3 linked regions of the Oryzias latipes genome follow. The protein of the gene in region 3 interacts with the protein of the main gene of each other region in a biochemical or structural test. Links are inferred from orthologs where the notes say so. Each region holds a gene or a part of one and is shown on either strand. Other genes may lie near its edges. The genes, in order: syndecan-2-A, frizzled-7 and syntenin-1.

The links.
Region 1: the proteins of syntenin-1 (region 3) and syndecan-2-A form a complex in vitro, tested with the Homo sapiens proteins (3 studies listed by BioGRID and IntAct, with this or other methods). The link is inferred for Oryzias latipes from reciprocal best matches to the Homo sapiens genes SDCBP and SDC2.
Region 2: the proteins of syntenin-1 (region 3) and frizzled-7 interact in a biophysical measurement, tested with the Homo sapiens proteins (2 studies listed by IntAct, with this or other methods). The link is inferred for Oryzias latipes from reciprocal best matches to the Homo sapiens genes SDCBP and FZD7.

Annotation. Positions count from the first base shown.
Region 1 is NC_019869.2:20,659,603-20,670,202, reverse strand, and holds the start of syndecan-2-A, read right to left. Parts: upstream 5,942-10,600; 5' UTR 5,564-5,941; coding exon 5,504-5,563; intron 2,129-5,503; exon of another isoform or gene 1,371-2,128; intron 1,290-1,370; exon of another isoform or gene 1-1,289. Other genes in the region: ppp1r36 (protein phosphatase 1 regulatory subunit 36), read right to left, coding at 9,752-9,830. UniProt on the Homo sapiens protein: Cell surface proteoglycan which regulates dendritic arbor morphogenesis.
Region 2 is NC_019879.2:16,921,904-16,932,326, forward strand, and holds frizzled-7, read right to left. Parts: upstream 4,856-10,423; 5' UTR 4,381-4,855; coding exon 2,683-4,380; 3' UTR 1,249-2,682; downstream 1-1,248. UniProt on the Homo sapiens protein: Receptor for Wnt proteins.
Region 3 is NC_019865.2:5,709,764-5,719,571, forward strand, and holds part of syntenin-1, read right to left. Parts: intron 5,129-9,808; 5' UTR 5,128-5,128; coding exon 5,077-5,127; intron 4,702-5,076; coding exon 4,605-4,701; intron 2,385-4,604; coding exon 2,284-2,384; intron 1,555-2,283; coding exon 1,390-1,554; intron 1-1,389. UniProt on the Homo sapiens protein: Multifunctional adapter protein involved in diverse array of functions including trafficking of transmembrane proteins, neuro and immunomodulation, exosome biogenesis, and tumorigenesis.

The sequences.
Region 1 (10,600 bases), on a different chromosome or scaffold from region 3:
GTTTCCATAAAGCGATGAAACAACATCAGCTGCAACAATTGTCCTGCGTTGCTTTATGATTTGTTTGTGTGACCTGAAAAACGTCACCCAGTTCCATGCAGACCGACCAGCTCCTGTTGGGAGGCCTGAAGCAGCTCACACTCAGCAGGAACTTCAGCTTTTATTGTGAAGGAAAAAACACACAGACACGGTATCTTTGAAGGTGACTGATCAAAATGTGATATTCCAGTGGATCTGTTTTCAGCATGTTACCAAATAAAATGCATACAATTATTTAAAACTGCACAAAATTGATATTAGGGAGCTTCTTTGTGCAAAATTTAAAAAACAACACTTGGTTTTCTATTTTTGTTCCTTATTTTTTCATTTCAATTGTCTGACCTGTGAAAAAAAAGGATTAAAGTTGTTTTCAAACCCCCCATGACGGATTATTATTCTTTGCATTTTTTCAAACCAAAAATCATCACACTTACATTTCTCAAAGGAAATGCATGTCGATACGAACTACGCTGTTGAAAGCCTTCCTTATTCAAACCGTCAGATCCTGTCAGAGAAAAATGAATGTTCTCGTTGAGAAGAGTCCTTTATTCTCTCCCCAACTCCCCCGAAACCGGTTTTTGTTCCCGCACTCGCTCCTGTGGAGCTGTCAAAACTACCGTTGGGCTCGAGTGACGCGGCTGAAGCGGAGCGTTTCAGTCAGAAACGTGGAGAAAAGTGTTGTTTTTTTTTTTTTTACTCAAACTTGAGCAGCAGGTGTCTGCATGAATGTGGCCGCTAAACATGACAACATATGTGATTCTACTTCAGTGATAACATCTATATCTCATCTCCCCCACCCCTTAATGCCAATAGACTTTTCCAGGAGGCTGCGGTTCCATGTGCAAAATGTCTTTGATCGGATCAAAGATCGCAGAAGTAGAATATGTAAAGACTCTGTTGACCTCAAAGTTTGTTCAACAAGTTTCTGTCTTGTGAAGATCAATGTTCAATGTTATATAAAAGTCTGTTTCTTGTCTGGATCTTCTTGAGCTTCTCCAGTCCAAAAAGCTTGACTGAACTGGTCAACACTATCTCTTACCAAAGGTGGAACCATGATAGGGCTCAGATTCGGGTCCTGGCTGGTTTTCTCCGCGTTTGCAGCCTCCTACGACGCCTTACAATGGTGAGCACGTCTCACCCTGAATATTCATGGGGAGCCCTCTTTTTTCCTCTCTGGGGCTCACTGAGAGGAAACACCATGTACCCTTGAGTGCAGCTCCTCTTCATCAGACCTTTATCTTCTTAGGGTCCTACAAAGGAAGTCAAAGCGGTCATAAACTGCTTCCAGGTCAAGCATCGGGTGATGGAGGTCCACTTGTGATTATTGCCACCTGATCTTTGTTGCTTTCCTGATCTTCTGTTTCTTCCTGCTTATGATGTCAATGTCAACCACGAGTCGGAACACAAACAAGCTCAGATTAAGCTCTTCACCCTTTACCGCCAGAGATGTTACCGGTGACGCCTAAATTTGACAAACCGTAAATCTTTGACCGTAACAACACAATCAACGTGAATCAGCTGATTCTGACGTGGAGAAGAGCGGCTTTTTAAGCAGATATGAAAAGCAAAATCAGCTGAATTGTTGGTGGCGTAAGCACTTTACCACTGTAAAGTGTTACATAACAGCACCAACCTGCTTTTTTTCCGCTTCAGAATCCGATGGAATTACGATAAAATAATTGCGTAAACGATGAAAGAATTACAGCAGTTGTAAGAACGTCAACACTGGAGCTAAAGCTAAAAGGTCAATGAAACAACTGTTGGAACGACGACAACCACTCAGACTCTCCAAAATGACTGTCTTAGAGATATATGACCACACCAGCTAAAGGTAACCATGGTAACATTAACGCTTTAAAACTATCGTCAACACAAAATTCAAATGCGAAAAAAAAGTTGTGGTTGCTAGGAAGAATTGTCAAATGTTGTCAAACGTGAACCCGCTGATTCTGATGTGGAGTAAAGTGGCTTTTAGTATCAGCTTTGCACCGACACGCAACACGTTATCAACGTTAAGTGTTGCATATACGTGCAATGGTGGTTTTCTTTGCGACAGAATCATTAGTTTTACGTTGATTTCGTAAACACATGACTACTGTAATGTTTTGCACATCAGCCCAAAGCCGCTACTTCTCCGCTTCAGAATCCACTGGAATTACGTTACTGCGTTAACGATTGAAGAGTTACGCTGGTCAAAAGAATGTTAACACCGGAGCTAAAGCTGTAGGATTAATGCAACAAATGTTGGAATAACAATGACAGCTCATACTCCTCAAAATGATTGTCCTTGGGATGCACGACCCCACCACCTAATTTTAGCCATGGCAACATAAACACTTCAAAAATATCGTCAACACAAATTTCAAATACCAAGAAAGTTATCGGGACACAACGGTTGCTAGGGAGAATTTTCAAATGTAAAACTACTAGAGTTTCAAGACATTTGTTAGATTTTCTGGAGGAAAAACTGCAGAATAACATCCAAAAACATATTTGATCTTCTACCCCTGTGATTTACCGGCTTCTTACTTCTATTCCGTCATCTTAGCAACAAAGTGGAGGATATTTAGGACTAAAAGGTCTGCCCTTTCTCGCATCCTCTTCCACTTTAGAGACGCAGGAGGAATATAAACATCTCCTCTTCCTCTCTCCTCAGAGTTTACATTGAATGAGTCTCTAAGGACAGGAAAAAAGAGAAAGGCGGGGCCAATGAAAGTCCCCCGGCTCCCCCTTCCTCGTGATCTACTTAGTAACCGTGTTGGTGGTGGACGGCCTTCGATCTGTTTTCTTTTGTGCGAGCCGCTGGTCTTCAGGGAGCCTGCCAGAGAAACAGCCTGTGAGGTGGAGGTGGAGGAGGAAGGGGAACTTCTCAAACCTACATTTGTCCAAACTCTATGCCACCACAATGTGTGTGTGTGTGGGGGGGGGTGGGGGGGGGTGAAACAAGCCCGTTTTTATTGGTGGAAAAATGGAAACGCCTAACCACTTCTCCCATCTCTCCACCTCTTTTCAGGCTCTTTCACTCTAGAATCAACTTAGAGACCGCTTCCACACAAGAACACTAGGTCCAGATCGGTTCAACATGCATACCACACTAAACCCACACCATAATCCTCCCCCCACCAAAAACTTTCAGCCAAAAAAGTACCAACCCCCCACAAACCCCGAAAGCCCTTCATTAGATGTAGGTTATCATCCGTATCTTGTCATTTGTTTGTTTGCGCTTAGGATGCTGCCCACACAAAAAGATAGTTTTTTTGCGTCATAAAAACGACCATTTCTGAAAACTCTAGCCAAAGTAAACATTTTGTATTAGTCTGATTTTGTGCGTCCAAAAATCGGGGTTTGTGCTGATGGTAGCACAGAACCGTCCTTCTGATTGGCTAAATTGAGTCGGGATTCCTCCAGTCGCTAAAGGGCTAGCATATGTAGAGCAGGGCTAAGCGGCGTTTTATGAAGGTTAATGTTGATAAAAACCATTTTGACAACAATTGTGAACAGGATGTCATCTAAAAAAAAAACGGAATGGTGAGTCGATTCAGTTTTTGAACCCTTTAACTCCAAAGCTTCAGCTCTAGTGTTGATATTTTTTCAGTTACAAGAACTTTTCAACTATTTTTGCAATTAAAGTAATTCCAGCAGATTCTAAAGCAGAGGGAAACCGTCTGATCTGGAACACTTCACTGAAGTGAAGCGCTCACCCAATCGACGAGAACCAGCGGATTCTGTTTCGGAGAAGAGCGACTTTGTGCGGATATTGGTGCAAAGCGCAAGGCTACTTTTCTCCCCGCTTAAGAATCCGATAGCATTACTTTAATTCCATTTAGGGTCGAAGAGTTGGGGTAGTTGAAAGAATTTCAAAGCTCAAGTGTAAAAGGGTTAAGAAACTAGTAAACATATTCACGATGCTTAATCGAGGAGAACGAATAGACGTGCATAAAGAGTGAGTCATAGACAAATGTGGAAGAGAGTATCCCATAGTTTTTCCAATTTCAAACTTCCTTATAAATCAGATAATAATAATAAGAAGAAGAATAAGAGTTCTATTTTTGTTCTCAGTGACCCATGGACCACTACTGTTTCACGGCCTTGGGGGTTGGGGACAAAAGTACACAAAGCACGTGTGTGATATTTCCCTTCGGGAACACACCCATATCACCACATTAGCTAAATTGCAATTTTTAAATCGGACAAGTTATTGTGGGTTGGACTCCCTTTTAACCAGAATTGACTTATTATTTGGGGATCATCTCTGCGTCGAACACGGTTCTTGTTGGTCCTCACAAAAGCATGATCCCATAACATATAGTCCCAAAGAACAAATACAAGCACACAAGAGGTACAACAGCTGGCAAGAAACGTGAGCTGGTGAATGAACCCAACCTCCTCTGGATGGTTGGGTTCATTCTGGATGTGAAGGAGAGTAGAAAAAGCTTGGTCCCCTTGCAACGCCCCCCAAAGGCTCCATTAGGGATTGCGTAATGGTGGGAAGATGGACTGAGTGCGCCCTGGGGGGCTCACAGTGGTTTCACTTTAACAAACAAACATCCATCATGCTTATACTGAGAAAAAGATGAAAGCAAACTTTCAGGAGGTCCATCAGAACCAAACAGATCCACTGACCTTCAGGTGTTCCAGGACCTCAAAACTCAACAGAGATGGATCCAAAGTGAATTTGTTGATACTCCAACACCAAATTCAGACAATTACAAGTTTCACTTCCAACTAAAATGCGTCCATTTTAAGCTACGTACACACCGATGCCTGTTTGTGTTCAGCTTTTATGATACTTTGACTCTTGGTTGGTGGCTGGTGTGATTGTAGCTTTAGGACTCCCTACATGTCTCCAGAATGTGACACCAACCAACCATGGAGCAGAACCTCAGACTGCTGTTCAGACGAGGACAGCACGGGTCAGAACAGCACGGGTCAGAACAGCACGGGTCAGAACAGCACGGGTCAGAACAGCACGGGTCAGAACAGCACGGGTCAGAGCGTTTGGCTAAGAAGGTATGCACATGAAGATCCTGCAGAACTAGACCCCAGGTCCGCAGTGATTCAACGATTTACAAAAGAAGATTGGTTCAAGGAACCTGAGAAGGTCAAGCTGCTCTCTTCAGCTGCTGTTGTTTCACCACCATAAAGAGCAGAAGGAGGAACTGAAGGACTTTTCATTCCAGGTCTGCATTCCTGAAAGTCAAATCTGTGGATTGATCTCCAAACTGGAGGAGCCACTTCACTTCTCTGTTTTGAAGATGGAGAAGTTCTCCTCGTGAAGCTCAGACCTCCTCAGTCTAATCACAGATAAGCTGCATCTGTCTGACAAATGACTTCTTCACTTGACGTCTGAAGGTGAGCGGAGTGCGAGTCGACCCGCCGTTGGGTCCTTCAGCTGTGAAGGCTGAACTTTTTCAAACAGTCTTCACGCGGACGGAGCTGCGCGTGCGTGTCCGGGAGAACTCACCGTGTCCCCGCAGAGGAAGACGCTCAGCGCGACGGTCAGCACGATCCACGCGCTCCTCATGGTTCCTCCGCACGGGTCCAACAACAACCTTCCCCTCCTCCTCTTCCTCCTGCAGTTCGGAGACGTGTTGCGCCGGAGGGGGGTTTACTCCTCCTCCTCTTCCTCCTCCTCCTCCTGCCCCTCCGCAAACCTGACTGAATTTACGCAAACAGGCGCCCCCGGCTGCTGAAATCCCCGCGAGGACACGTCGCTGGCTCTGAGGAAACGAGGGCAGACTGAGGCGCGGGCGCTCCGGCGAGCGCGTGCGCCTCTCTTCACCGAGACACCGGGAGAACTCGCGCCAAAGTCGCACAAACAAAAACGTGAAGAGAGCCGCGCGGCCGTTACCGGAGGAGTCACGCTCTGACGCGTCCGTCTGCGCGTGGGCGAGCTGATCCTTAGGAGCGGAGTCAGCTGATCATCAGCTGCGCAAAGAGGCGCGCACTCGTTCGGCACGCGGACAAAAGCTCCCCCTGCTGGCGCGAGGCAACTTCTCTCTGTGACGTCCTTTAATATCAAAACTTCAAACATATATCACAAAATAAAGCAGTTATGATACACAGGACATAGATTTTCACCTACAGAACATAGTTTAGTCTAAATTTCACATTTTACTCAATAAAATCTTCCTATAATTTAGCTGATAATCCTTTTATCTTGTTGAAAAACTCTGTAGGACTTTGGTTGTATATAAAATTTACAATTGTAACACTAAATCTATACTCATAATAGTTTAGCACTTATTCTATGCTGACCAAAAATGTAATTTTTCTAAGAATTCATGATTAATAATGAAGCCATATCAAGAATTTGCTGTACTGAAGAGTTAAACAATCAGCCAATCAAACACACACTGGTCAGACATGACAGATTAGCTGCTCTATTTCTGTTTTTTTTTCATGTACATAAATATATTTTAATGCTTTTAGTATATGATTTGTGAATTTTCGTAAATTTCTGCATTCTAACCATCACATGGATTTGGTTTAACCCACGTCTGGCAACTACCTGCCTGCTTTCGTCATTACTGAGCAACATATGAAATTCCACTTCTGCGCCAATGATACTCTGCAATTTCTCAATGAAACCAGGTCAAACCTGTCCGTTAAGGGTTTGAGCTGATTGGGGTGAGGTCACTTTAGGAAATGCCCCACCTTCATTTTACCTTTATAACCATTAAAACTATCTTCAAAGGCTTCAGGTTTCTTTCGCAAAAGTCTCCCATCCCCCAGCCCTCTGAAGTTCTCAGGCCTCTTCCTCAGGATTTATCTCTCCTCCTGGTGTCCCAGATTATATGGCCAATTAGGACTCAGGCAAAGCCCCTTCTGTTGCCAGCATGTGCGTGTTTGTGTGTGTGGAAGGCCACACTAGGACACGTGATGACCCAGAACACTGACCCACTGAGATTGTTCAGTGGATTGTGGTCACAAATTTATGTGAGAAAGGGTATCAACGTGGAAACGAGAACTTTTGAGCAAGGGGGTTTCACACTGATCTGTTTGGTCTGGATCATGTTTGGTAGGTCTAAAAACTCTGATCTGATCGGGCTGAAAAAAAAGAGGGCAGATGTTATGCTTATAAAGTCACTCCAGATTACCCAGCAAACCAAAAAGGGCCCCGTTTACTAAATACACCTGGTTGACTATCACAGCATTTGCAACATGGCATTTGTTTGATCAGCAAAATAGTACACACAAAACATTTGGCAGCTTTGCTTTCGTTGAATATACGATATGTGCAGTTTTAGAAGAAGTTACAGAAAATTGGGAGAAGAAAATATACATAAATTAATCATGCCGGTAGGCCACCTTTCGGCATGTGCCATCAGGGGTTGCCACAGAGAATCAGCTTTCACCGATTCGCACAGGTGGTAGAGAATTTTACGCCAGATGTCCTTCCTGACACAACCCTGTATTTGATCTGGGCTAGATAATGACACAGGGTGCCAAGAACCCATACTTGGCTTCCCCCGGCTGCATAGGCAGCAGCCTGAAGGGTCTTGCTCAAAGACACACACTGGATGAAGCTCATCATGCCCCCTTAACCCTTGTGCTATCCTAGACACTTTGACGTTAGGAGTTGGGTCATCTAGAGCAGTGTTTTTCAACCAGTGTGCCGCGGCACACTAGTGTGCCGTGGGAGATGGCCAAGTGTGCCGTGGGAAATTGCCCTCATTAACTGATCTAAAAACATTTCCCATCTCCAGGATTTTAGCTCTCTGTTCATCCAAACAGACCCTGATAAAACACTGAGGAGTTAGGAATATGAAAGATCGTAAAATACTTTTTCTTTGCGTTTATTTTATTTTATTAAAGACATTTTGATAAGAATGAGTACCGCGATTCAGCTGCACCTTCGGCTGTATTTTGGAAAAGTCCCGTGTTGGGGGGGTTAATCACATGTCATCGGTCTGACCAATCAGAAGTGCTTAAAGTCTTCACTTCCTTGTCCCGATTTAGCTCGTAAAGTCGCTCAGTTCTAACAGAAATACCAGCTAAAGCTCGTCTTTAGCGCTGTAGCTTTCCACAGAATCCGATGTCAGACCGTGGAACAAGTGAACAAAACAATGAAGCTCCGAAAACCGATCTTCGGCCGTTTTATGCACTACATTTCCCATGATGCATTGGGTTGTGAGAGTGACAGCGCAAAAGGAGATCTGTTGTTAAACGTCTTGAAACTAACGAACACACAAACTGTTTTTAAATCTTTTAACTTAACTTTTATTGCATCTTTTAGAAAAAAACAGCTGCAGTTTCCAGCTTTTTCTGTAACAATTATCTCAAAAATGCATGTGAGATTGTGCAGGGGCTGTAGATCAATACAGACTATGAGTTTGTCCTTTTTTTTTAATTTTTGGATGCTGGTGTGTCGCGGGATTTTTTTTAAGGTTAAAGTGTGCCGTGGCTCAGAAAAGGTTGAAAAACACTGATCTAGACCCACTAGACAGTGCGCTGAACCTTTTTTCTTCAAGGATTTGTGATCTTCACTGGTTTCCATGGATTACATGAAATCTTTCCACCTTTATCCACCTTTGTCATGGTAGGGAGAACACATCAATGTAAGGGTGGGGTCATCTAAGATAGCACAAGGGGTAAAAACAGACCCTGGATTCTCAGGGACCAGGTTCGGTAACTTTAGTGTGAAGTTCGGAAAGGTACGTGAAAACTGGAACATCCAAATGATTGTATGAGTTGAAGAAAGCACCTCTTTTGCACCTGTTTAAAAGTTTAGGAATTGTCAGCTGAGATTGATTGGTCACAGCCTATACTTGTTGGCCATTGTCAGTAAATGTACAGACTAGATTGGTGGTGTTCGAGTGTGCGTTGCTACGGCATCCCGCCTTTGGGCTCGTGACACAAAAAAACATGTTAACCTTTTTAAAGGCCTGTAATCTGTTTCTTCTAGCAACATTCCATTTCTCCTGTTCATTCCCCACTCTACATTGCAATAATTTAACATTTGCAAAACACAGGATGTGCCCAATTTTCCTTTACCACATTATCTACACTAAAAAGCACACTTTAAATACTTTTTTTTCCTGCCTTATAATCCGGAGTGCTTTATATGTGGATTAATCATGGTTGTGCTTAATGATCTAAAAAGCTATTTTAAGTGGTACACGGCACTCTGTCAAAGTATCCGTTTTGTTGTGTTTTTTTACAAAATGCAAAAAAAGGTTGAGTGTTTTGTAAATACGCTAACCCAGCTACCTTGTCGGACTGTGTGTTTTTTACCTGTTACCAACAATTTTAGGATTTAGCGTAGTCTCAGTAACATTTGTTGTTGGTAGTGTGTTGCAAACAAGGTTAGGAGTTACAGACCTGTGAATACGCTGACGTGGCTAACGTGTAACATGTCACAAACCAGTTCTTGAGTTACTGTGGACACAGTTAATATAGTCTGACTGACTTAGGGACTTATCTCTGACTCTTTTGTCTCGCTTAATGTGCCTAATATTTCGGTGCCCCTTTTTTATGATATAAATTCAAAAATAAACCATTTATTGATGGTGCGCCTTTTAATCCACTGCACCCTACAGTTAAAAAATATGGTACATAATATTGTTTGTACTTTTAATCTACTTTGAATTCACTTTTTTCTTTATAAAGGATCTTAATAAATTAAGTTCCAAGTGTTGGAAGAGTGACACATTTCACAAGTAGAACCAAAAAAACAAGTGAGTCCGGTGTAACGTTCTCCTCCTCTTCGTCAGTTTTCCATCTGTTCCACTAAAGGTCTCAGGCTGCTGCGGCAGAACTGACTGAGAGGTTTCCCGATAATGGAAGAACTGAGAACACAAAAAGCATTGATCATCATTTTTTTATCAAACAGGAACATTTCTGCTGCAGCTTTTATGCTTGCTGATTGGTGTTATGCACTGTGTTTCAGCATAATCAACTGAAAAATTTAGTGCATTGTTTAGTATTTTATGCATTTCAACTGAACAATGTTGACTTATCAGATGTTCCAGATGAAAAAGGCTCACATGAATAACAACATAGTTCACAGAAAAATCAACTGTTCTGATCAATTGCTTGTCATTTTGCTCCTCTAGACATTTCTGGGTAGTGTAGTCAAACCAATATGACGGTTTTGATTGGTTAATGCGTCTTTTGCGCCTCATTGTCCAAAAATATGTTAGTTTAATGCTAAGAAAAATGTAGAGTCCTGTTTTTTGATAATGAGGGATACTTTCTGTAGAATCACAAAATCCTGACTTGTGGTCACTGATTTAAACTCTATAGCTTGTAATAATTCAATGTTTTTTTTAAATAATTCAAAAATGTTGAGTTCCACAGATTAGAGTTTATTGAAATTTGAATAAAAAATGCTTCAAGCTTTAAACTTTGACTATACAAGTTAAACAGTCAACCAAATGGTATTTACAAAAACATTCAGATTTAAACGTGTTAATGGCAGCTAAAAAGAATCTAAATGGGAAGAAATACAGGCAATCCTTTCCAGTGAAGGGTTACATGACCTGTTTAATTTGAGTTAAACTCTAACAAGCCAAGCCTCACAGCTAGCATTTGGGCTAAAATAGATCCGAATCAGAGT
Region 2 (10,423 bases), on a different chromosome or scaffold from region 3:
ACAATTAGTATTTCTAGTATATACTATTTTGCTTTGAAAAAAAACAATGAATTTTTCAAATTACGTTTTTTAATATAGGCTTGTGTCATGTTTTCTGCATTTTTTAAGCCTAAAAGAAATCTAATAAAGTTTATGAGCCTATTTTTAGGTTTCTTTTTTATATATCTTTTAGTAGCATAAATGTTTCCTTTTACTTAAATTGAAAAATATATGGAAATTTTATTTTTAAGTCAGCATAAAAAACAAAGTTTAAATTATAATTACGAGGTCCTCATAATGATGAAACAAACAAGATAGAGATTCGTTGTAAACCAAAAATGTGTACACAGAGACTAGTGGATGCCTTACAAACTTTATATCACTTTTATTCAAATGTACACTTGCAAAAAGGCTTATCTCAGTAAAAAGAGAAAAGAAGTAAAAAAAAAAAAAGGTACCCTCTCATAAATACAAAGTTTTCAAATGTTTTACTTGCTGATTTGGATTTGTTGTTAAAGTAAAATAAACAGTTAATTATGAAAGAGGAAAGGTCAGTCTAGTGTCATTGGAAATGGCAGATCTTAGCTGTCTCAAGGCATTAGCAGAATTACTTTATCATATTTGGTTAAAAGAAAAAAAACAACCCAATGACTGACTGTGGATTCGCCGACTCACTTCCAATACGTCAATCATTTGAGCCGACTTTAACCTGGGTTTGAGGTATGCAGTACATTCACATGGAAAATATCACAAATTTACTATATACAAACTGCCTTTAGGATAACACAAAGGTAGGTACAAAGCAGAAACTTCTTAACAATAATAATAATAATAAAAATATAGATGGATTGAGGGCACAGCTTTGGAGATTTAAAAGATCTGAAGTTGACCATGAAACTGCACATTGACCTACAATCTTACAGATAGTTCCTATGTTTTATAAAGGGACACAGGACATAGACAGAGAAACTATGTTGTTAAAGAGCAAAATGACCTTATGGTCACATGCCACCATCCAGCTGATTCAGATTCCGCGTATGTTTTCCTAATTTTATTGTTTAGTCAGGGTGGATAGAGCAGCATTGTGACTTGTGCCATCCCCCATAAAAACATGTTCGTAGTGTTAAAGTTAAAACCTATCAAACTGATCACCTTATTGATACCGCGCATATCTTCCAAGGATAATTAACTTTTTTTGTATATATATATAATATATATATATATATATATATATATATATATATATATATATATATATATATATATATATATATATATATATATATGTTCTGATCATGTGATCTGACAAACATTCAATGTCCCGTTTTAGATAAAGTGGACATCACACACGTTGCGTTACCAATCTGTTACACGCTGAGGTGATTTAGTCCCTAGAAAACACTAAACAATGGCTAAAGTTAATCGAATCTGCCTACACTGCATTTTCAAATAGAAAAATCCCTGCAACCTCTGACCTTCTACTGACATTTCTCTAATAGATCAGACAAAGTCTGAACAGAGACCAGCAGTTTCACTGTTCTTTTGAAGGATATTTAAAATAATCCAGACACTAAAATAACATCACAACTTGTTCAGTCTGCTTGTGTAGAAGCACAAAAAATAACTTCAGAACATGAAGGAAGACGGTAAGGAAGTAAAAGTTATACTGAGCAGGTGTGAACTTCTTTAGGTAGAACAAAATAAGATCAGAGCACCAGAGCAGCCATTTGCACTCCCACGGATTAAACGTGGGGCAGGAAAATGCTACTTTGGGTGTCTTTGAGGCTTAACAGAAAGTCTGTCTGATAGGGAATCCCACTGCGGAAGGACCACACACAGAGACCAACAATGGGCTTGGTGTGTCTCAGTTACAGCGCGTACATTAGACATTTGTGTGGCTTCGTTAAAATGCAAGATCCAAGGTAAGTCAGTTCTGTAACAGCCATTCTTTTACACTTAACAATAACGGTGCAAACCAGTATAAGAAAACTTCATTCATCCTTATATTGACCATTAGTAACTTTAGTGAATACCCTTCAGTCTCAGACATTAAAATCGTTTGGTTTTTTTTTTTAAAGGAAAATATAGAAGAAAAATATTTCTGTGAAAAACTTGGCACATAAAACAGACTTGGAAGAACTTCTCTCACTTGAAGAGATGCAGCTGTGTGCTGAAAACCTAACACAATACAGCTTTTTCCGTGTTCAGCTAAAAGCACATAATGTCTATTGAATTCACAGTCAAAGGTTGTTGGTGGTTCAACAATCATACCATTAAAAGCATTTGGAGCCGTGCAGGCACGCTTCTGGACAAATGAGTCCATCCTGTTAGTCCACCTTAAAATGGCAACAAAAAATGGACTATGATATTTCTATTGTGACATGAGGATACCATTGATAATATGCAAATAGTAACTTCACCAGTCTGGGATTTCAGTCCAGGGACTAGCACAGACTTTAACACCAGTTTTTGTCTGAAAATCGATGGGAAAGCAATGGTTTTGATGTAACTGATGAGCAACAGAAACAAGCGAAATAAAGGTTCGTCCGACGTTTTGAGGCAACAGATAAGAGTTTTGCTGTTGCCAAATACTGAGGGGGGGGTCCAAAGGGAGAAACATGTTGACTTAAAAGCTTTTCGACCTCATTTCTTATGGTGTTTTGTCCAAAACTGTAATGTGACGCAATTTATTTCCTCCAATTTTCACACTGTTGTTTCCCCATGGTTGCCATTGCCAAGTCTCTTGTAGAACCTCCGCCATGACTGAAGAGTCTTCCCTGACCACACCCAAAAGCCAGAGGTAATTCCAACTATCATGGTCATCAGGTATTTAATCATGAACACAGTGAAGTCCGGCGTCATGGGAGCAAAGTTGTGAACCGGACATGGAACAGCAAAGCGCTTACAGGTTTGCATGTGCCAGGTGCGCTCCCAATGCTCCCTGAAGGCCTGCTCGTAGAAGTAACACGCAATCACTATGGTGGCTGGTACTGTGTAGAGCACACTGAAGACACCGATCCGCACCATGAGCTTTTCCAGCTTCTCCGTTTTGGTTCCGTCGTGCTTCATTATGGTGCGGATTCGGAAGAGGGACACAAAGCCAGCGAGGAGGAAGGACGTGCCGATGAACAGGTAGACAAAAAGTGGAGCCAGCACAAACCCACGGAGGGCGTCCACGTTGAAGATCCCGACAAAGCACACCCCTGTCAGGACATCGCCATCCACCTGGCCCATGGCGAGTATGGTGATGGTTTTGATGGCTGGTACCGCCCATGCAGCCAAGTGAAAGTACTGGGAGTTTGCTTCGATTGCCTCGTGACCCCATTTCATCCCAGCAGAAAGGAACCATGTGAGGGATAAAATTACCCACCAGATGGAACTGGCCATTCCAAAAAAATACAGCACCATAAAGAGGATCGTGCAACCCTCTTTTTTCGTCCCTTGAGCTACAGTCCTGAAGCCTTCCCCCTTGAACTTATCCACGCAGACAACTTTGTCCTCCAGGAAAAACCCAGCAGCGTATGCAACAGCCACCATGAAATAACAACCGGATAGGAAGATGATGGGTCGCTCAGGGTACCTGAACCGCCTCATGTCTACTAAATATGTGAGCACAGTAAATAAAGTGCTCACACAACAAAGGATGGACCAGATGCCAACCCAAAGTCGGCCAAATTTAACCTCGTCCTCTCGGAAATACATGATCCCACTTGGCTTAGTGGGCTCACAGGGGGCCCCGCAGTCCTTGACCCCCATAAATCTGTAGCCGAGGTAGGAAGGCACTTCCAGCTGCAAGGGACAGGAGAACTGGTGGTAGGAATTGTGTGGAGGTTGAGGTGGATTCGGAAACCTGTTGGGTGGAACCGTTACAAGCTCAGGCACATGTGGGGATGAGGAGGAGGGTGAGCCGGGTTCGGATGTGTTCTGGCCAACGCAGATCTCGCTGCCTCCGTTCACCGGGAAAGCCTCGCAGTGCAGTCGCTCCGGCCACTGGAAGCCGAATTTGTTCATTAGGGCTTCGCACCCCTGCCGTGCCCGCTCACACAGCGACCGACACGGGGGGATGGCCTGCTCTAGCACGGTACAGACCGGCGCGTACATGGAGCACAGGAAGAACTTCAGTTCGGTAGAGCACTGGACCTTAACCAGCGGGTAAAACTGGTGCACCTCGAGTCCTGCGTCCTCCTGGTTTGTGTGGCCCAGGAGGTTTGGCATGATGGTCTGGTTGTAGGCGATGTCGGTGCAAAGCGGGATGGAAATGGGCTGGCAAAATCCGTGTTCCGGAACTGATATTCCACTGTCGCTGTAGTGTTGAGCCGAAGCGGCTGGCATACACAGCCCGCACACAAGCCACATGATCCACAGCCACAAGGAGTCAGTGGATAACCTGGCCGCCGCCATAGTTGAGGAGGAGGGGGAGGGAAAGAAAAACTTTGATCCAACTAAGGGCAACTCGAAAAGGCTTAAAAACACCAAAAAGTCCGCAGCGGTTTTAAAACTCAACTTACAGTCCCAACAATTACTGTAAAAGATAGTCCAAATCGAGTTTTTTCCCTGTATTTAAGGTAATAACTCCAGGAAAAGCGTCCGTCGCGTCATGACTTCTTAGTGTTCTTTGTAAGTGACTCCAAGCCGTCCACTCTCACTCCCACTCAATGGAAAACAACACTTCCAAGTCAGTTTTCTTCAGCCGTAAAAAAAAATCCCAGCGTCTCCCAAACATTAAGCTTCTCACTTCGGCGAAATTCGGGAAACACACCACCGAATGGCCTATATCTAGAACATTGGGGCTAAACTTCACGCTGAGCGTCGGTTCACACGCTGGGCGGTTGGAAGTCCAGAAGCTCGCTCTCACTCCTTGCAGATTCCACCGGTTTCAAGGCGCCCATTCCCTTCACTCGCCGCCCCCCCAATAGATGACGGGGCGCCTTAAAACCAGCGTCACGTCTCAGCCAATCCGGGCGTTTGTTTTCCTACGTGACTTGTTCCTGATTGGTTTTAATTTCCCCATTGCAAGGAAATATGCTACACTAATAACTTGACACTAGAGATTTCCATTAAATAAATTTTTTTCTATTGAGATATTTTTATGAACCTTTTCCACCCTTTTTGACTTGGAGCTTTTTACTTTATTGGTATTAGAAACTAAAACCAATGCCTGTACCAAAATATAGTTAACAAACATTATTATTTTATTAGTTTCTTATTAAAGACCCTCTCAAATAAAAATGGTGTTATTTTGTGTTTATTTCATGTTCTTGTAGCATTATTTTCACAATACATAAAGAAAATTAACACTAAAACTACATTTCTGGGTATTTCCTTATTCAAATCGTGGTGAATAAGAAAGAGCCGAAAGTAAATAAAACGGAGGGAAAAAACGTGGTTGTTGCATACAAACTGCAATCGGTTGGCCACAAGCTCCCCTGCTCCACTCCATTCCAATGCATCCACATGCAGAGAAATAGATCCATGTAAAGGCCTGTTCACACCGGGATGAATTTCGCCGGCGATTTTCGCCGACGTTTAACGCCTCGTGACTAAACAAAGGGCACCAATGAGAGTGTGCACGCCGACGCGAAAAAACGCCACGCGACAAAGCGTCAAAAAAAAAAACGCCTCGGGTTCGTTTTTTTTTTTCGACGCGTCGCGTCGAAATCTATTCGACCAATGAGAATGGCGCTTTTGCACACGTGTCTGGAGCTTCTGAAGTTACAGTAAAACACAACTTGGGGGCGCTCAAACACAAAACTGCCTTGCTGAGCACACATACCAGCGAAGAAGATAGACGCCAAGTAGCGTCAACACTGCCGCAAAGAAATAATGACGGACATTCTTAAATATCCCCTTACCAAGTACCAGTTGGAGCTACTGATGCTTGAAATATTCATGTTTTCTTTGTTTGATTCTGACAAGCGCGTAAATACTTGCTATCTTCTTCTGAGTGAAAAGCGACTTTAAGAAGCGTAAAGTTGCGCAGCGCCACCTTGTGTACAGGAGTATTTCTGTTTACATTAAGCGCCATCTAATGTCAGGGAATGAAATTGCATGTTCGCTCGGCTCACCGTCAGCGAAAATCGCCTGGGTGTGAACACAAAAAACGTGGCGAAAAACGCTGGCGAATAACGCCTGGCGAATATTCGTCCCGGTGTGTACGGGCCTTAAGTCTTTGTTTTTCTCTTTTGAGCCGTTATCTGGCTCAAAACTATTTCGCTGGATGGCTCAAATATTGCTTACTTTCTTTGTTGCACTGCTAATGTTAGCGTAGGGTTGTGAGGGGCTGTAAGCTAGTGGGATAGAGTATAAACAAAGAGATAATGGAAATTGAAGACAGGCTTACTCCATGCAAACTATCCCACCTGCAACTCAGAGGCAATTTTTTGGTGAACTGCCAAGGCAGGATGTAGGCATGGGAAAGGGCCCCAAATGCCATGACAAAAAATCTGAAACATTTCTAAGTTTTCTTTTTGATTTCTAATTCAAAAGTGGCTCACTTTAAATTTTTAACAATTGCATCCAAAATTGCAGTTTACTATCTATTTACACACAAATAAAAAAAAAGGTTGCAAGTGGGACACGTGACGGCCTACAGAAACTGATAAAAATCTAAAAAAGTAGAACAATAAACAAAAAGTAGAGTTGATTCCAGCATTTTAAACCAGTAAACAGGGCTGTGTTTTACATGGTCTGGTTTAGGGCATCATTTCAAACAATAAGGCACAGCTCCTTCTCCGTTTCCTCACTGTAGGGCGGTGAAAACAACAGTCAGAACAGCTGTCATTTAAAGTGGCAGCATGATCATCTGAGCAAAGAAAAGCAGGCTTGGAGGGAATGAATGGAGCTGCTGCATGGCAGTATCGCTGCATTTGGTGTGTTTCTACCCTGAGTGGGCTTAAAAGATGGTGGGGGTTGGCTGCGATGGGGGAAGGGACAGGAAGAAGAGAAAAGGTCAAAGAGGGCAGGGGGAGAAGGAAAAGGAGTGGGAGGAGAGGTTTAGCCAAAAGGAGATGTCAGAGGAGTTAAATGAAGTATCCCAGAGAAAAGTGACCAGAGATCAAACTTTCTTTATAGACTTTTTAAAGAAACAAAATGAAATTGCTCACGGAATGCTAACAGTCTGCCGTATTGTTGCTGTATAAAATCTGAAAAAAGTTGCTGAACTATCTGACTTGTTTCTCCAAAGGCAAGGCCTACTTTGTGTCTTTCAGCAACTTAGCAATTCAAAACGACTCAGGCTCTCAAAAACTCTGATCCTAATGCATGCAAGATGGCCTTACTCTACCCCACAAAAATTCACCCTTAGCTCATCCAGGGCGCTACTGCTAATAAAAGTATAGGAGCTGAATACAAATTTCAAGTATTTAAACAAGCATGGAGTCTTCAAAGGGTTTTGGATTTTACCGCTCACAGAAAAAGACCCCCAAAAGGGATGGTAATTGCTGTTACAACAAACTGAACACAGAGGCGCAGTCATTTGAATCACAGATTTAAATCTAACTTTTTAGAAACTCTTTCTTTAAATATTTCTGTTTTAAAAAACTGAAAGAAGAAAAAAAAAATAAAGAAAACTAAATTCTAATTTCATTTAAACTCTGAGTGAAATTTAATCAAATTGTTGTTGGTGACCTTTGCTTCTAATATGGTCATCTTGTATCTGTGTTAATTTGATCACAGCCAGCAATAATTTAATTACCAAAAAAAGCAGATGGTACATAAAGAGACAAAAGCTTTACAAGTAAGTCAACACATTACTTGTTAACTGCAAGAAAAAAGAGGAAATTCGCATAAGGAACAAAAAGAGAGGCTAACTAATAACATATATGTTCACATTATTGAATCTGTGGCTTGGCTTCTCACACTGTCACAACATCCAGGCAAAGTGCTATTTCATGTATGGACACATGTTCAATTGATACATGTAGGAAAAGTATTGACTGCATGCATATCACATTGTCACTAGTGATGGCAGTTGGTTAAAAAAAATTGTCGAAAGACTATCCCAGTTTGACTAGTAACTGATTTATGTAAAAAAAAATGTTGTTATTTTTACCCAACAACAGTAAAATCAGGAAAAAATAAATAAATATAAACAGTTTCTGAGGAAAATAGGGAAAACCCAAAAATACAATTTAAAGGTTATTTGCTATAGCTAATTAAATATTTCTTCTTGGAAAAATATGAACATATTTTACTACTGCTATTCTATGTCTGTAGATTTTGATTGGCTGGACATGTCATCTAGATTGTCAACAGTTGTGTGGTGCATCTTGAGCTGGTTATAAAGAAGTAAATGCAAAAATATTCAAGTTGTACCCTGGGACAATGTGAGCAAATGCATTTGTTTGATAGTTATATTTGAAGTTTCATGCTACAGCATCAGCTAGATAAAGTATGCACAAAGTCCAATAATTTTCAAAAACACAAAGACGGGCAACAGTCTTTTTAGTCTTGTGCAAATACTTGTAGCAGGATTATAGAGTTTTGGATGGGGTCTGTCCTTGGCTTGTTTTCATTCACTGTCTGCGGTGCGAGCCCCAGCAGTTAGTAGCCACATCAGGTCAAATGGAACGAACACCATCATGTCAATGTGCAACGGTTTGTTTGTGTGAGTGCATATGTTTGTGGATAGAGTCAGCAGTGGTCAAGCAGATGGGTAGCCATCCAGACAGTCACTCACTGTTTGGACTGCAGTCCACTGCAGCTGGAGGGGGGGGAAAGAGTTATACAAACACATGGATTTTCAGCAGATTAAGGCGAGATATAAACTGAGAAAAAAAAGATGATGATGGCTTGGACTGTGCACGTGTCATTTGAGCTGGACCCCTGTGTAAAGTACTGGAGGTGCCACTTAAACCCACCACTCAGTGACTATTTTATGTTCAGTTAAAGTGGAAAAATCCTGTTTAGTTTGGTTTAAAGAGGAATTTTAGCTTAACGACATGTCGATTTCCAAAGCCAGCAAGCATGCTGATTTATCGTAGGAATACATCAATTAAATATTCATAGCTTAGCAAGACTACAGAACTTTTAAAGTTTGCAGCTTTTTTTACTTATACATTTGCATCATCTCTATAGACTAAATAACTATTAAAAGCAACAACACCAATCTTTTATCCAATTTTGCTTTTTATGACAGTATTTTCTGTGGGGGTTTTTTCACATGGAAATGGTTGAGAAGTTCGGGGAAAATCCTGAGAGAAATCCTGACACACTACTTAAAACAATATTTGTCTGGGCCCCACTATGTAATTAAGTCTTACCCTAAAGTCTCTTTCACACACCACTTCTTAAACAGGGTGGCAACTGAGTGTGCTGCTGTCAAGCCTGAATTACCTTTTTGGTGTTTTGTTGTAAAACTTTTTGACCAAACCCTTATTAGATCTGACACAGTTGCGTGTGTACGGCTATTTAGGCAGGAAATGCCTGAGATGGAAACCGACACATCAATGAATGGATTTTGACATGCTAATGTACAGTCTTACAACCTTAACAACCAAAAAACATGAACAGAAACAATTAGTTTAACTGTCCAACTAATAATCAGCTGTCAGCCTAACAACCATCTGCTAAATACTGTTTGAATTCCCACTCCAATCATTTTTTTTATCTATTTAAAAGGTCCCAGTGGTCTTTTTAAATATAATTATGCCCTCTTTTTGTCCAAAATGGAAAAAAAACTATCATTTATAGGGAATAGTTTCTGCAGAGCAACAATAGTTCATTAGAATTTTACATCTGAGTTGTAGGCAGGACTGTTGGGGCAGAGTAAGTCCGTCTCCACTTCCCATCATTTATCTGTTTACACTCTCTCCCGCTAGCTTACAGCCCCTCACACCCACAACCTAACATTAGTGGTGCAACAATAACAATGAGCACAATTGGAGCTATCCAGTTGTACAGTTTTGAACCTGATGCAAGCTCAGACTGGAAAAATGACGACGTGCATGGATCTGTGTCTGCAAGTGGATGCGTGAGAATGGAGCGGAGTAGAAAACATGTGGCCTGACGATTGTAGCTTCTACGTCACTGCTTCAAGCTTTTTCCAAAAGCATTTTTTCGGTTGCTCTTGAATCACAATGATTTGAGTAACGAAATACTCAGCAATGCAATTTTGAGCTTAATTTTTTCACGAAAAATGCCACCATAACATGTTAAAAACACCAAAATCATGAATTTCTTTTTTTGAGTGGGTATTTGAATTTCCGTGATTTACGCATGCACTTTTAGTTTCTCATTAAAGATGTTATGAAAAATAATTTTAACTTTATACATTTGTCAATGTTGCATGATTTTAATTAGGCCATATTAAAGCAGTAACGCAATATTACATTTACATTTCAGCTGATACATTTAGGTACAATTTCTGGTTCTTTACCCACCTATGTATATATCAGAAGTATGTGGTATGTATGCAACATGCTGGTAAGTGGTGGGGGGGATGGGA
Region 3 (9,808 bases):
AGTGCTTATATATTGTCTGCAAAACTTTGAAACCATAAAAAGTGAACTGAGATATAACGAAGGAACACTGTACATTTGAGATGAAAGCTTTTTAGTGTGATAAAAAAGCTTTTAAATCGGAGCTACAGCCATAACCATAAACACATTCAAATTTGACCTTTATTTGTAAAATTGTGTTTAATATGCTTTAAGACTGTTTTAAAACCAGAGAATGTTTGTTAAATCAGTGAGGAAAAAAGAAAAAAGGAAGAAGAAAAAAAAGAAAAGCTGCTCTAAAGAAAAAGAAAAAACTATTTTTTAGGTCATACTAAACTGGAGCTTGTTTTGCTTCAGCTGTAAGACGATCATCCTCCTTCACTGAACCGCATTCCCTGGTTCAAGGTGGAAGACGACACTCCCTCCATGTGACAAAGATGCTCTTTTGTTTACTTGAATCAAAACGAAAATGTTTTCACTCTTTCCGTTGATCCATAGATTGCCATCGAAGCCTCAACTTTACCTCTGCTTTACAACCAAATGCATTTGTTGCATCAAACATCAGTTTTTATAGCAGCTCAAATTGAGAAGATCTCAGAAGTTCCTTTTGGACCTTTTTAAATGTTCCTTCACGTCTTTTATGAGATGATGACAGTAGTCACCAAACTGAATGAAATCATTGCAAGTCCTGACTTTGAACTGACCCCATTTCCCTTTAGGAAGACAAACAGTGTTTCAGTAAATCAAAGGGAGGATCTCTATGGGGCAGAAAAATGTACAAAAGAGTAGAAAAAACAAGAATGCACAGAAGCAGAACAATACACCAGTCCAGTATTTTAACCCTTCGGTTAATTTTCACTTCAGGGAGGAAAGAGGATACATTCACCTCTGTTAAGAGGACAGAGGCATTTCTAGGCCAAACTAAAGAAAGGATTTCTCGTGGGTAATCCTTCAGCGTCTCCTGGTTTCCTCATCGTTTAAGCACCATTACCAAAATTAAGAACATCTCATAAAGATCTTCTCAGCTTTTTTTTAAGCAAAAGAAGGAAGGATGAGAGGACTTTTAGGCATTTTACATCCTACTGTAAACTCTAAATGAGATTTATTAAAGCTCAGTGATTCATAGAGAAGAGGAATCGCTGATGGGCAGAGCTTTAAAACATAAAAATGACCACCAAAATCTTCTGGGAACTTATAGGTAATGAAAGGTGAGCAAGTCAGAAGCGATTATCTACCGGAAATCATCTTTATCAGAGAATAATGGCGTGCCGTCAGGAGGGCAGAGTGAAGCAGGAATGGATCTACGTCAGAGAGGTGGAGGAGCTCCAGTTGGAAGCGAGAGCAGAGGAGCTGCAGTTATCTTTACTTGCTATCAGAGCAGAAGTGCGAGCCACGTCACACGAGCGGACTCACGTTGTCGATGGCCCGGAGCCGCAGCCCCACCTTCCTGTCCTGGTCCTTACAGAGGATCACCTCTCGGATCCCCGGGCGGATCTCAGCCCGCAGGATGCCGATGTCTGACCCGGTCACGGGCCGCACCATACCCCCGACCCCTGAGCTGGCGGGCACCGCCACTTGCTGGGAGGGGGGATAGAAGGAAGAAAAGGCTTTTTAGAAGGGGGCAGAAAAACTCAACAATCAATGAGATGTTTTTCTCTCCCTTCATCCATGAATGAAACACAAAATGCGTCAAGCTAATTGGAGACATGATAATTTCAGCACAGTGAGATCAGTAAATAAATGAATTAAAAAGTAATGACTGACATGAACATTTCTGCTGAATAAGTGACCGTTTTAGTTCCGCTTTAGAAATGTGGCCAGAATGACTCGGCACATTGACACGTAACCAAAGAGACAGACTTTGTGGTTGTACAGCTTGAAAGGCAGCAGTGATAATCTGTTTGATACTACAAGTTTAAAAATCCTAAAAAATAAATAAAAAAAAGGGGGATTTATGTTTCATCAAGAAAAATGCACTGATGTTGAAAATATTGATATTTTTATGTCAGCTACCAATTGAGCACATATGACATGCATATTTGTGCATCTTTGAAAAAAAAAATCATCTTTGAATTTAAGATGAAAAACAACAACAGAGCAGATCATCATACAATATATACAGAATATATAAAAATATACAGTTTCGGAACAGGCACTCCATATTCTAATTTTTCCATGTATTAAAAAAAAAGAAAAACATGAAAAATTAGAAAAAAGGTCACCCCATTTGTTCTTTCATTGAATGCAATACACTTCCAGACAAATATGCTTTCAAAGTGTAAAAAAACTACAAACTGCATTCCATACATTGTCCCCGACGGGCAGCAGAGCCAAGTTCTTCTGGACTTCGTCACTGTTGAGGGCCAGACCCATGTAGTCTCCCAGCTCCCCCAGATTTGGGTACAAACCTGAGAGGATAAAGAACAGAAGGAAACGGAAAGAATGTTGGTGAAAAAATACGAAGGATGGACTTTAAAGACAGGAAAAGACTGGAGATGAGAAAAATTTAAAACAATCCTAGATACTACTGATGAATAAATGTTGGGATTTTAATGAGGGCTATATCGGCCATGTTCACTCTGACAATGGAAAAACTCCACCCAGAAAAGGACATTAATTTAGTTCTACCACACGGGCGTGTTTATTGTAAAATCGTATTTTTGGTGATTGTAACAGGTTGTTGTAGCTTTTTTTTTTTTTAATTATGGAGGACATATAAGAAGAATATTTAAACTGTTTTTCTGAGTATTTCTTTATTCTAGTAGTTGTGATAAACAGAAGCAGATGGAAAATATTTTGTGAGAAAAAAGTTTGTTATTACGTAGAAACTACAATTGGTGGGCCACAAACTCCCTGCTCCGCTCTATTCAGATGCATCCACTTGTTTTTCTCGTCTGAGCTGGAATCTGGATCAAAACTCTACGGATGGATAGCTCCAATATTGCTCGCCATTTTTGCTACACTGGTAATGTGAGGTTGGGGTTGTGAAGGACTGTAAGCTAGCATAGAGAGCACGTAAACATGGGGATGATGGGAAATCAGTGCAGGCTTACTTCTGCGCCAAGAAGACAAATTTCTGATAAACTCTTGCTGCTCTGCAGAAACTATGTTCTAGAAAACAACACAGGTTTTTTGATTTTTACTAAAAACAACATAATCATAACTAAAAGGCCACGGGGAACGCTTTTAAAATGGATCAACATATGATTGGAGCGGGACTTTAACCAATGACAGAATATACTGTAGTCCAGTGTTTTTCAACCTTTTTTGAGCCACGGCACACTTTAACCTTGACGAAAATCCCGCGGCACACCAGCATCCAAAAATTTAAAAAAAAAGGAGAAAATCATACTAGTCTGTATTGATCTACAGTCCCTCCGTAATCTCACATGGATTTTTGTGATGATTGTGGCAAAAAAAGCTGGACGCTGCAGCTGTTTTTTCTAAAAGATGTAATAAAAGTTAAGTTAAAAGATTTAAAAACAGTTTGATGTGTGTTCATTGTGTTTTCAAGACGTTTAACAACAAAAAATCATTGTGCGCTGAGACGCTGTCACTTTAACCCAATGCATCATGGGAGATCTAGTGCAAACAGCTGCCGAATGCAGACAGACTAGCGTCTCTGAGCTTCATTGTTTTGTTCACTTGTTCCACGGTCTGATACCGGATCCTGCGGAAAGATACACCGCTAAAGACGAGCTTTAGCTGATATTTTTGTTAGAACTGAGCGATTTTATGAGCTGAATCAGAACAAGGAAGTGAAGACTTTAGGCCTCCAAGAATGATTGGTGGAGACAGTTAAAGGGGTGGGAATTTTCCGAAAACGTCTGAAACTACGGCTAGATTCTTATCAAAATGTCTTTAATAGAATCAAATAAACACAAAGAAAAAAGTGTTTTACAATCTTTCATATTCCTAACTACTCATTGTTTTATCAGGACCTGTTTGGATGAACAAAGAGCTGATATCCTGGAGACGGAAAATGTTTTTAGATCAGTTATTGAGGGCAATTTCCCACGGCACACTGGTTGAAAAACACTGCTGTAGATAAACAAACAAGAGGTTTCCAAACATTTGTCCCTTAAGCTTTAGATTTAAACCAAATCTCCAATCCCGTCCATATTTATGTTAACATCCTCTTTTCCCTTTCAGGTCACGTTTAAAACCTAGTCCCTTCCTTATGCCAACCCCCCCAACACCATATCCCCACTGCATTACTGCCTGAGCCAGTCACCATGGTGAGGAAACACAAAGAACCAAAAGCACTCAGGACTTTGCATCCAAATAGGGAAGAGAAAGTAAATGAAAGGAACAATAAGAGGGAAGATAATCAAAATGTTGTCCTTTGCAAAGCCTGGAGGTTGTCTGTTCGTATTTTCCATTTTATAGAATCATTAAGAGGCTTCCTGCAGACATCACTCCACATGTAAGACAACTCTACTCTGGAAGTGAAGCCTCTTGTTTTTCTAAACAACTTTAGCTCCGATCTTCAACACCAATCAGCTCCTTTAACAGACTTCATCCTCTGCAAAACTTTGTCCATACATTACCAGTTTACACTGCAGCTCAACAGAAGGGAAAGGGTCAATCTGGAAAGTGGTTCTGGAGTTCGAACCGGTCCCACTCACCGGATGCTGGCATGGCAACAGCAGCAAGCTCAGGCTGGGAGCTTCCCTCAGTGATGGCAGGCATGGGGGCAGCAGTCTGAGCGAACTGGACCTGAGCCTGAAAACAGCAAACACTTCAGTCAGCTCTGTTTAAATGCAATTTCAGATAAACATATATGGTCAGGACTTTCTGCGTTACTGAACCGTTTGCGCTTAGAGACATATATTCCATCGCCGACTGAAAAAATGTTGGTTAATCTGACCACATCCGAGGCCCATCAACCAGGTTACCACAGTGTGAAAACAGAATTTAGACCTCATGAAAAACCACGACAGTGGTCACTTTCCTTATTGTGTTTGGGATCATTGTTGAAAATCAATGCATTATAAGAGTTTTAGAGTTGATTCAAAATTTTGTCTGCATCACATAAACTATAAAAACTTCCTATAACCCAAAGTTAAAGTCACGTCACTGACACAAAGTTCCTCTTACCTTGATGACCTTGTCGACCTTGAGGTCCTCGAGGGATGGATACAGAGACATGCTGAGGAGAAAACACAAACATCTGGGAGTGAAGGTCAGGATCATGAAAAGCCTTTTTGTTTGATTTTTTTAACTTAGGTTGAAACATTTTTCATTTCGTGTATTAATGTTCAGTTCTATTTCCTGCATTTAGTTTTTATTAAATTTAACCTTTTTTGTTTTTTACATGCATGGTCTAATTTTTATGACTATGAGGGATTCAGTGGGTTCAGAAAAAGGAATATATAGTTAAAATTTGGATTACCATTTTTCTATTTTCATTGAATATTTAAAAGGAAATGTAATCTATATTCTTAGTTTTTTTGTTTTCTAGCAATATTTATACTTTCATCTCTATTTCTTTTTTTAAACGCTTCCTCATTCTGTTGTGATTTGATTGATTGATTGATTGATTGATTGATTGATTGGACAAATAGATGGATGTGTTTTAATTCTATAGATTTTTATTCTTTTTATATTGTGTGTGTTTTATATTTTATTGTACTTGGGTTATTTCCAAGGGTTTATTGTCATATGCACAGTGTGAAGCACTTTATGTTTACATGAAAAGTGTAACGTAAACATAAAAACAGTAGAATTACTTCCAGCTGACCTCAAATTCACGCCTGTGTTCACAATTCCTTTGGGTCACTGAACTGATGCTCTGGTACCAAAGTGCTTTGACCACAGCGGCAGAATCCATCACATAAACATCTTCAGTGGAGGAAAACTAACGATATTTTCAAGGTTTTGCATCACATCCGAGAAGGCCTCATATGCAGAGTCATGCTAAAATGGATTTATACAACGGCTTTGTTGTTTGTTAACTTTCTGTATGGTTTATTTTTACATGTATTCATTTAACAAAAGACTTTATTTCAAAGCAACTTGCATGTGAGATGCAAAACAAGCAAACACTGGGTCAATCGCACACTACTAGACACACTTCTAGTTCAGCTCAGAGAAAAATGTCCCGTTCTGTTTTTTTAGGCACAGGAAGCTGCGGAAGAGGTCACTCCAGACCATTTTTTTTTAAAAATAGGGAGTGAAGCAGCTGTGGGTGTAGAGTTGGAAAACTCACTGCACCTTTGTGGGTCGCAGAGCTGAAGAGTTTGAAACAGTTTCCTCGAAGCAGAGATATTTATTTGGATTTATAAATACCACATGAAGACATATATGTCCTAAACAAAGGAGTCTTTTTGGAGCTTAGCACCACAAACTTTAAGATCCGGACTGATCAGCTGCCATCAGAAGGAAGCTTTAAAAACGATCACATCCACGTCTACAGCTCATGTTTTCATCGTCCACACTCCATGAATAAATGGGTTTAATCTGCACTTATTCTCATAACATGGGAATGTGTTAAGGTCAAATGACAACAGGACGCAAACAGGCTTTGAGATTACGAAAACACAGAAATACCAAATTTGAAACAGTTTTTTTTTTAAACATTTCCACCCCCCAAAATGTGGAATCAGGAAATGAGTCAGCTGACTGAGGTTTCAAAACAACGCAGCAGCTCAGAAACCATCTGTAGTATGATGGCAGGCAGCTAATGAGCAAAGTATGTCTGAGAGTGGAATTTGACTATGCATGTTTAATTGATACCATTACTTTTATACACTAAACAACTCACATTCCACAAAGAGCCTTTGTGTTGAAAAGACTCGGACGCAAATCCTAAGCCTGCAAAGAAACAGCTGATCTCACCCTTGCCAGTTCTTCTTTTCACTTTTTTTTATGTTTGATAGAAAAAACTAAACTTACAAAGTAGGAATTACCTAAAATCATTTAGATTCCATTAGATCAAATTTCCTACATCACAATTAAGCCTTTTCTCAAATGGCGTTTTATCGTCCAGCTCCTGATTCACAGTCATTTGAATAAAGAAATACTCAGAAATTAATTTATTTTATATATGTCCTCCATCATGAGAAAACGCCACAATAACATGTTAAAAACACTGAAAACACAATTGTCGTCAGAGTGGGTCTTCAGGCAGGTTAGATTATTAACCCTTAAACCAGACAGGAACTGTTTCATTATCTAAGCGAACTACTGGCTCATCATGAAATGCTGTTATGAAAGACTTAATTACGTTTTTCTTATTAAAAAAAAGACAGAAGATGCAAAAATACTAAGTAAAAGGCAAGAAAAATTTAGCTTAGACAGAACACGTTGTACCCAAAGTATTCATCATGTATACAGTCTATTTACTGATATAGTCATCTCACATGGCATGTGTTTACGATCCAAGTGCCCGACTCTTAGTTCTCTTCTTCTGCATAGCTTCCCGTTTCAGACAGGAGCTCAATGGTAGGAAATGATAGGGACGTTTGTGTCTCCAAACAGGTGCTGTTAAAGTAAAGGCGGATGTGTTTTACACAATGTGAGATCACGAGAAATGCCAGGTGAAGTTTGCATTCTCTTTTTATTACCATTTGCGTCAGCAGATCTTATTAGATAGAAACGTGCAGCTGTTAGATCAAGTTAATGCTGCTTTTTAGGAACCTTTTTATTTTATGTGAAAACGTTTCAAATCCTCCAAAATCCGCAAAGGAATCTCAACTGATCAGAATCTATCCACCAGTTCACACACAGAATGACACTGAAACAGCGCGGTCTAATCAGGAAAAATCATGTGACACATAGACAGGAAAAGACGCTGGAGCAGGACTTTTAACATGTCGGTTAAGACCAAAGAGGCCACCGTGCAGCACTAAGTCAATCATTATATCGATGTGCATTAGGAGGCTGATGTAAAGTATGGTTCTGAGATCAGAGTAGCTCTTCTGTGAGGCAGACTGTCAGCTTTGAAGAGCTGCTGCTTCAAGTGTGAAGATTAGAAACATCAGAGCTACAAAAACAGGTCCTACAATCCAGTTTATGTAGAGAGCATAAATCAAGCAACAGTTGGTTTTTTAACATCACTGAGGGCTCACTCCATTCTGCTCATCTCAGTCCTCCAGGACAAGTGCATCATTGTGTGTGTGTGGACACAGAGAGGCCTTTTTGTTAACCTTCCACTGTTTACTCTTCAGCTATGTGTTTGCTTGCTTTGTATGCCTCTCTCATACAGACTCTCTGGCTGAACATGAATACGCCTGGAAACAAAACAGCAGCATTTGAGCAACCCTTCAGATGACATAACAGGATCATTGAGACGTCTGCCACTGCGACGGAAAACAAGGCGCAGATCATTTTACTGAAATATACAAGAAGGAACCCTTTCTGAAGGAGGTTAAAAAAGTTTTTTTTATGGATTGTTAAGGTAAAGATTTCTGATGACGGAAAATATATATGAAGGTCACATTAACAAGTGAAGGTTAACATGACAAAAGAATTTTCTTTTGTTTCAGACTGTTAAATATGTGTGTACTGGTTTCCTGTTAGTTTTTTTAAAACAAATGTTTCATCTAACTTGCTTGCAAAAAAAAGTCAAGAAACTCAAAGTAGTGTTATATTAGGAGGAATGCCAAAGAAAGCTTGTGCAAAGGCTCAGACACACCAGGCCTGGCATGTGTTTGCTCCCATTCAACATATTTTGGTGTGAGCAGCCCATTCAGCAGAACTCGATCTAAAGCTTCTGCTTTATTCTGAAAATCTAGCAGATTATTCATTTACTGTTTTTTTTTTTTTTTTTATAAACTTTACTTCTACTTGAGTCTATAAATATAATGTCAAACTAACAAATTCCTTTAAAAACATGAACGGAAAACAAACAAATGAAAACATGTTAAAGCAGCCCTTAACTTCTAAGAATTATATTTGGTTTGGTTTAAGATGGACTCACCACACACTTAAAATAACCAAAAATGACAGGCTTAAATAATTAAAAAGGTTTAATTTATAAGTGATAGTTCATCCCTGTTCTTACCAGTGTTGTGCCTCAGTTCTTATAACAATTAGCTTATTTTTTTTCTTATTAACCATTAGCCAAACTTTTTGAGTGATCCACTTTGATTGGAAACTTGAGATATACATTTTTTTTATAGTTAGCCACTCTGATATAATTATTTTTCCTATTTTAAATGATATAAGCTTTAAATTTAAACTCTTATCCTATCAAAATAATACATTTTCACTGATCACCATTTATTTTGATAAAGGTACAGCCGGAAGAAACGAGAAACATGACTTATTAAGACTGGAAAGGGGGAAAAAATGCTGACGTCTTCGGGAATCAAGGAAAGAAAAAGGGGAAACTAAAGCAAAAGCATTCAAATTAATTGGCCCGCGTGCTCAAAACTGAGAACAGTTGTGTTGATCAGACACTAATCTCCACAAAGGCCGCTTTGGGTGGGTTTTTAAATAAGTTAACAACCCACAACACTATAAATAAATCAGCAGAATAATCAAATTCTTTATACTCTTGTGATGATGATATTTTAAAACAGACTCTCGTTTCGAGGCGAAGCTAACTTGAGACGCGCGAGATGTTCCTGAACGTTACCCGAAACTGTACACACATATAAGAAGCAGCATTGTTGATATAGAAAACATATATTTTTCACGTTCATAAATACAATAGCATGAGACTGAAGCGAGCGCGTGGATTAAAATAGAATAAAATTTGAAGAAGAAGGAGCTCAAAGAAGCGTCTTTGTTCCGGCATAAACAGCTAGAGGGAGGTTAGCTAACGGCGTTAGCATGTAGGTAAAAACAGAAATTCACCTCAGTTACAGCTACGTACGACAGATGG